2 linked regions of the Oryctolagus cuniculus genome follow. The protein of the gene in region 1 purifies or fractionates together with the protein of each later gene. This does not show direct contact. Links are inferred from orthologs where the notes say so. Each region holds a gene or a part of one and is shown on either strand. Other genes may lie near its edges.

Region 1 (3,359 bases):
CTCCAGCCAAGCATCACGACTTGTAAAACCACTGGCTTCTGGTTGCAATTCATAGAGAATAAGGGATTAAAGTGCTGGCTTTAAAAACTCTCAAGTCGTATCCAGAGCTATGAGAAGCCCTGCCAAGTCGGTGTTTTCCCCCCATGCCGAGGGACAGCAGGAAAGATAGAAAAGTGGGGAAAAAAATAAATAAAATCTGAAATTTTGAATCAGAAATTGGAAATTATCAAAATGCTGGGATTCGGTACAAATTCATCTCCCAAGGTTCTGTGCCCTCTGGTGAGCCGCAAAACAAACAGAACCCAGGAAACACAGCGGTAACTGACAAAGTGGATGGAGGGCAGCGGGCGCCCTGGCCGACAGCCTCCCTAAATGAACACTAGTGACCGAGTGAGAGATGCCGCGGCGCGGGAACGTGGAGCGGTCCTGGCCCACGGGAAGGCTCGCTCCCTGGCACTCCTCGTCCCACACAGGCCTCCCTCCGGACCGGAGTCCGCCCAGCAGAGCCGAGCTGGAACAGGGAAATAGCTTGTTCTGCACTTTTCATGAACTCTAATAAAGAACCCGGGGGAAAAAGGCTAAGTGAGTGGTAGAGGACCAAACAAAAAAAAAAAAAAAAAAAAAAAAAAGCTGGGGGGGGGAATATAAATACAATCTGGGAGCAATATTTATTAATTAAAACTATGTCTTATAGTTTACAAAGATGCTAATTAACAACAAAAGTATAATTGACCTTAAAATCCTCAGTGCACTGAGGCTTCACGTCTCCTCCAGAATCCTGAAGTGTGCTGCAGGCAGTGGGGCCGGGCCGGGGCGCACGGGCATCGCCCGCGCTCAGGGACCACCGTCTTCACCACGCAAGGCTCCTGGTCTCCTTCGGAAGTTCCAACCCCCGGCCTCCACTGTTCTCTTCCTGCCCCCAACAATTCCAGCTCCCAGGAGGGCCCTCAGTTTTATCGTCGGGAGAATCTGTTCTTGAAAGCTTTTATCGTCTTGGCCATCATCGGGGCAATTTCTGTAGAAAGAAACCGGGCAGTCGCTTTAGATCTGTGGCGGCGCAGACACGCGCCGGCACCACCGGGGTCTGCGAGCAGCGCCAAGCCTTTCCCCTTTCCGCTGTGCACCGGCAGACAGACGGATGCCATCAGTGAATCTGCTGACACCGCAACAGAGGCGACAGCACAGAGCGGCACTCGCTGAGGACCTGTGGGCGGGGCCGCCGCTCTCACCCCGGCCCCCGCAGGGCCCACGGTCACTGTGTCAGGGCAGAGCTGGGGTTCCCTCCTTGCCAGACTCGGCAGTAATCTAACGTGGCCTCGCAGATGTCCAATCAGTGACCAGCACTCCCGCCGTCCCTCATGCTGTCCAAGTCCGAGATGAGCCGCACAAACTCCTGACTCGCAACAGGTGAACCTGATGCTTGGGCCCAGCCAAGAACACAAAATACTTAAGTCAGGACTCCCTTGGGGATCCTGGGGATCGTGCATGCACCCGTGGGCCGTGCAAAGCCCACAGCTCCTTTGGGCTGGCCTTGCCAAGGCAACCTCAGGCGGCACTCAAGATTCAATACATCTACAGCAGGCTGATTTGTGGGTTGATAATTCTGCATGGGACCAGCGAACAATGTTATACATATCCAAATGGCCCTTGGCAGAAAAACGGTTCTATCACAGACTACTGCTGGTCTATGGTAATGAAGCTAATAAAGTAAAAAATAGATCCAAAAAGAGAAAAAAAATATTTAGAAGGTTATAAGACTCAAGTAAGATGTTACACTTAGCTGTCGGTAGTAACGACCACTTCCCCAGAGAAACAGGCTCATGTTACCTCCAATACTACGATCTCACACCATCGCCGACATGGCGGGGTGGGGAGGAGGGGCCGCCGTGCAGCCCAGCGCCTGGGAGGCGTCCTTCAGAAGCAACACCCCCCCCCCCACACACACACACACAGGACGCAATGCAACAGTCGCTGCATGCAGGGGGCTCAGCAGGAACCCGAGTTACTCACTCTTCACAGTTGGCTTGCGAGGATCGTAGGAAACAGTGCTGACCACTGGCGCCAGGTGGGCACTGCTGGTGCTCGGGCCGTCGTAGGCCGGCTCCTCGGGGCTGGCGTTAAAGCTGTTGCTGCCGGAGGTGTGGCTGCTTCCGCCGGTGTACGGGGCGGGCTTAATCCTGTAACAAGAACACAGCTGGGCAGTCACGAGCAGAAGAGATCTGCCCTCAGCACGGACAGTGTGGTTCCTCCTGCGGCTCTGACCGGCGGATGCGGGCGCCCTGGATTCTGGTGGCGGCACAGGGATGGCTGCTGCATCAGCCTTTCAGAATGAATGAGAGCCTCAACTCTCACTGTTTCTTTTTTTAAATGAAGATAATATTTGAATGTCAGAGAGAGAGAGATTGATCTTCCACCCGCTGGTTCACTTCCCATACGGCTGCAATGGCTGGGGCTGGCCTCTCCCATGGGTGTAGGCACCCAAGCATCTGGGCCATCTTCCACTGCTTTCCCAGGTGTTTTAGCAGGGAGCCAGGTGGGAAGTAGAGCAACCAAGACTCGAACCAGCATCCACACGAGATGCAGGCACCACAGGCAGCTGCTTTACCCGCTGTGCCACAACGCTGGCTTCATCTCCTTTCATTTCTTAGGTTCCGGACTCTCTTCTGAAAATGCTCATGTAGGGGCCACACTGTGGCACAGCAGGCTAAGCTTCTGCCAGGCTGCTGCAGCCATCTAGGGAGTGAACCAGCGCATAGAAGACCTCTCTCTCTCTCTGTCTTTCCCCTTCTCTGTAACTACCTCTCCAATAAATAAAATTTTTAAAAAATTTTTTAAATAAAGAGAAAATGTCTATGTGGCTTAGATGCAATAATTTTGCTTAAACAGGGAAAAGGAAAGCCAGTGAGTGCTTCCGCTGTGCCGGGTCCTGTGTCCAGGTTAATCCTGACAGCCCTAAGGCACAGGAAAACAATCTGCCTTATGCTGCTGTCCAGGAGTCCAGGCTCGGGGGGCAGAGCGTTGAGCTGGCCGAGGGCCATCCCCACCATGGGCGAGTTGCTTCCCGCACCCACGGCTCCCTCGCAGTGGGGAAGACGACCTCCCAGCTCTCTTCCCCAAGCAAGAACAGAGCGCTTACTTGATTCTGTCAGCGACAACTGCTCCTCCCGTTCCGAACTTCTCCTGCCTCCTTCGGACGTCGCGAGGCGGCTTGGCCACAGAGTTGACGAAGGCCATCTTTGCTTGTCTGCCTGTGGAGGAACATGGAGCTGCCCACCTGCCCATGCGCCTCCTTGAGCAGAGACGCCATCTGCAGCGGTCCAGGTCCCCGGAGCTAGAGGTTGTTCATCAACCCAGAAAAC
Region 2 (4,272 bases), on another chromosome or scaffold:
AACATCATTAAAAAGCAATGGTGCCACATGGGAGATCAGGAGAAGCACCTGGCTCCTGGCTTCTGATCAGCACAGCGCACCGGCCGCAGCAGCCATTGGAGGGTGAACCAACGGCAAAGGAAGACCTTTCTCTCTGTCTCTCTCACTGTCCACTCTGTCAAAAAAAAAAAAAAAAAAAAGCAATGGTGCTTGAGTCTCCACTTCCAATCCACCTCCCTGCTAATGTGTCTTGGCAAAGCAATGGAAAATGGTCCAGGTAACACAGTTCCCTCCTGCCAATGTAGGAAACCCAAATGGAGTTCCAAGCTCCTAGCTTCGGCCTGGACCAGCCCTGGCCACTGTGGCTATTTGGGGAGTGAACCAGCAGATGAAAGATTCTCTCCTCTCACTCTGCCTTTCAAATAAATAAATGAATAAATAAATAAATAAATCTTTTAAAAAGAAAGTGAAAAAACAACCCAAATGATGGAAAATAATATTTGCAAACCATATAGGAGACAGAGGGAGAACACTCCCACTTGCTGGTTCCTCTCCAAATATACCCAACAGCCCAGGGAGAGGAGGGGAGGGGTACAGGAGCTGGAAGCAAGGAACTCGATCCAGGTTACCGACATGGGTGGCAGGAACCCGATTACTTGAGCCATCCTCACTGCCGCCTCACAGGACCTGCACTGGCAGTAAGCCAGTCAGGACTGGAGTCAGGAATCAAACCCAGATCCTCTGATGTGGGATGTTCATGTCTTAACTGCTAGGCTAGATGCCTGCTCCCGTGGCCTTTCTCAAGACCTAGTGTATTTAAGATACACAATTTTTTTGTGCTGTAGGGTTAAACCTTACTAAAATATTGCTTGTATCCATCAAATGTGCATTAAGCTCATAAATTAGCTGGTGAGGAAGGGAAGACTACTTTTTCATCATATTCCCAACAGCTAGCAGGGTAGCTGGAACGTAACAGGGGATCAATAAATACTTATTGAATGAATGAACAACTTCATGAAAGGGAGTCAGGGCAGGGTTCAGACAGAACTGTGCTTTGAAAGGTAAAAGGGACGTAGACAAGGAAAAACAACAGGGAAACAACAACGAAGGTAGTGGAAGAGGAGTGAGCATACAGTGCTCTCTCCTTCCAGATGCACAGACGGGAACCTCCTGGATGCCCACCCGGCCACAGCCTTCACACTACAATGTAGTTCCAGGCCTCCACCTAATGCTCCCTTCACTACAAACTACGAAAATACTGAAACCAAACCTCTATCCAGTCAGTGCCTTGGGTGCAGACGCTAGACCCTGTGAGTGAGCTCCTGGTCTCCCACTGTCTCTCAGCTTGCCCTGCTGAGCAATCAACCTCTTACCAAAATTTAGCTCACTGCATTGAGGGAGGGGTGCAGCCAGCCCCCACAAAGGTCCTTGATCACAGGACCCTGAGATCATGTATTAACCCTACAGATAACATCTGGAAGATGGGTCTTGAGGGTTTTGCCAGGAACCCCAGGCCCAGAACAAGAAGTTTACACCCCCTGACTGACTGAGGCTCACAGAGCATGGGATCACTGATCAACGCCAGGCCACCAGCGCTGCAGACCAACCAGGGACCTGCACTCAAGCTTGACCCTCACCTCTCAACTCCAGCTTCAATCTGTACCACCTTTACCCCCACCCTTCAAGGAGGCCCAGCTCCTTGCTCTGTGCTTTGCAAGTGAATACCTACTTTCTTCCACCACTCCAAGTAGACCCGGGTTTTGGAAGGTTCTACAACAAAACAGTAGTTGCACAAAATGGAGGAGAAAATTTGGTAAAGGAAAAACCACAACAATACCCTTTGTTAAAGACGGCTACTTTGAGCCTGTAGGGCTGCAAAAATTTGGTTTTGCGGGCGTTTTTCAACTTCAAATAACTCCTATTCATATCTCAAACTCAAACATCCATAGTCTCTGTGCCAGAAACACTTGACGCACCATAAACACACATCCATGCATTCATTTCATCAACACATCCCGCACCACTCCTCCTCCCACACGAGCCCCATAAGCTCTCCAACCTAATACCGCAGACTCCAGAACCCTGGAGTGTCTGCACTGGCGCTCACGGGACACAATGTCTCCAGTGCAAAGCGCTGGTGAGTAGCTCCATCCCCGTATGCTGCTCAGACTCCGCATCCAGACATCTCGAGCTGCCGGCCAGCGCCAGGCTCCGGCGTCGTTAACAGAGCATTCCGAGCCCCTCTGTAAATCACCCACCCCGTCCCCACGGTCCTGAACACCTCACCCCATTCATTCACAAACAGCCCTTGTTCTGCACCGCAGGACAGCAGGACCCCAAGGTTCCGGGCTGCGCAGGCTGGCCCGCGCCCCCACCTTGCCCCGCGCCCTTTTGCTCTCCGTGCTCCCAGGCAGGCACCGCATGCTCCACGGTCACCCAGAACCGCAAGGCACAGACTCTTGCGTGTGTCTGCCTAGACCAGCCCGCCCGCCAGGGGAGGGTGGCACCTCCGGGAGTGCAGGGGGCGCTGGGGCAGGAGCAGAGGAAGCACCACCTCTCGCCCGCGGACCGGAACCGGACGCCAGGCCGGGCCCCGCCGCGCACCCCGCCTGCCGATCGTGGCCCACCCCACCTTTACGCTCCGCATCGCTGTCGGCGTCACTCCCGAACAGATCCTCCATATCCGCCATTGCCGCTCACGTCCGCTGCAGCCTCGGCTGGGGGCGGCCCCACGCCGTTCTTTACGGCACGGAACTAACGAAACGCGACAGTGTCGCAAAGATATGCTTAAAAGACTCCTTTCCCTCTATGACCTAGTTTCCGCGTCCACACGGTTGGGTGGCGCGGTTCCTCCGTCGGGGTCTGTTCTCACGGGGTGGGCGTGCCCGCGGAGCGGGCGGTGCTTTGGGGAAAGACCCCCGGGCCATCCGGAATCAGGCCCAAAGTCCTTTGTTTCCCAGACCTCTTCTCACCCTCTTAAATATTGTGGAGAATTCCAAAGAACTTTTGTTTTAGATGGTTTATACCCATGGCTACTTACCGTATTAGTATTTAAAGCAGACATTTTAAAAGTGCTAAACTCGTTTCAAGATAATAAACGTTAAATAGTGGGTTTGGGGTAAGTTTTAAATGACTTCTTTTCTAAAGTTTTAGACGAGTGGAATGGTTTTAAAGTTTTGAAGAAATCTTTAATATCCAGCATAAAATACACAGCTGAATTATTTCTGCTTCTAAGTCAGTTGCTTAGAAATGTTTTGGTGGTAGCAGATGAAGAAAATCCGAGTTTAGCTAGAGAGGTAGTAATTGGCAAGGGGCGACTTTCTGAGATGCCCCGAAACGGGCTTCGTGGGACCACACTTGATGACTGCAGCTTTAGAAGAGCTTCGCAAGAGCCATAGCTTGTTCCTTTGCAGCTCTGTTTACGTATAACGCTATGGTTTGAACTCACACAGGATTTGAAACCTCATGTCATAGGTGAACGATACTAAAAGGGTGGAAACAAAGCAATCACAGCTTTCAGAAGCGGGACCTTAGAGGTAGTTGGATTGGACTGGACATGAAGGTGAAGCCCCCGCGAATAAGTCCTGGTGGCTGTGTTACACGCCGGTGCACGGAGTCACACGCGCCTTCTTGCCGGTGAAGCTCTGCGCTGCTCCGTCAGTGCCCGGAAGAGCACCAGCACCGGAGTGCGAACCAGTGACGCCTGCCAGATGCTGGATTTGAACCTGCGGAACTGTGAGCATTTTATTACACCTGTACTGTTTTGTGAAATTCGTTTTCTTGGGTATTTTGTCAGTGATGGAAAGCACACCAAAACACATGATATTGAAACAAATATTTCACAGAACACTATTTTCTTTTCCTACTGAGTTTTCCTATTACCCTATTTCAGTTTTGGTTTCTTTCTTTCTTTTTCTTTTTCTTTTTTTTTTTTTTTTAGAATTTATTTATTTGAGAGGTAGAGTTACAGAGAGTGAGAGGAAGAGACAGAGAGAGAGGTCTTCCTTCCCCTGGTTCACTCTCCATGGCCACAACAGCCAGAGCTGCACTGATCTGAAGCCAGGAGCCAGGAGCTTCTTCTGGGTCTCCCATGTGGGTGTAGGGGCCCAAGGACTTGGACCATCCTCCACTGCTTTCCCAGGCCATAGCAGAGAGCTGGATTAGAAGAGGAGCACCCAGGACTAGAACCGGCATCCATATGGGATGCCGGCGCCACAGGCAGAGGATTAACCTACTGCCCCACAGCGCCGGCCCCTCAGCTTTGGTTTCCTAAAAATGTTGGCAGGCAGTACA

The links.
Region 2: the proteins of ELOA (region 1) and LEO1 purify together in Homo sapiens (affinity purification with mass spectrometry; 3 studies listed by BioGRID and IntAct, with this or other methods). This does not show direct contact. The link is inferred for Oryctolagus cuniculus from reciprocal best matches to the Homo sapiens genes ELOA and LEO1.

The regions. Positions count from the first base shown.
Region 1 is NC_091438.1:147,226,701-147,230,059, forward strand, and holds the end of ELOA (elongin-A), read right to left. Parts: intron 3,249-3,359; coding exon 3,137-3,248; intron 2,178-3,136; coding exon 2,011-2,177; intron 1,016-2,010; coding exon 954-1,015; 3' UTR 642-953; downstream 1-641. UniProt on the Homo sapiens protein: SIII, also known as elongin, is a general transcription elongation factor that increases the RNA polymerase II transcription elongation past template-encoded arresting sites.
Region 2 is NC_091443.1:74,670,940-74,675,211, forward strand, and holds the start of LEO1 (RNA polymerase-associated protein LEO1), read right to left. Parts: upstream 2,823-4,272; 5' UTR 2,670-2,822; coding exon 2,612-2,669; intron 1-2,611. UniProt on the Homo sapiens protein: Component of the PAF1 complex (PAF1C) which has multiple functions during transcription by RNA polymerase II and is implicated in regulation of development and maintenance of embryonic stem cell pluripotency.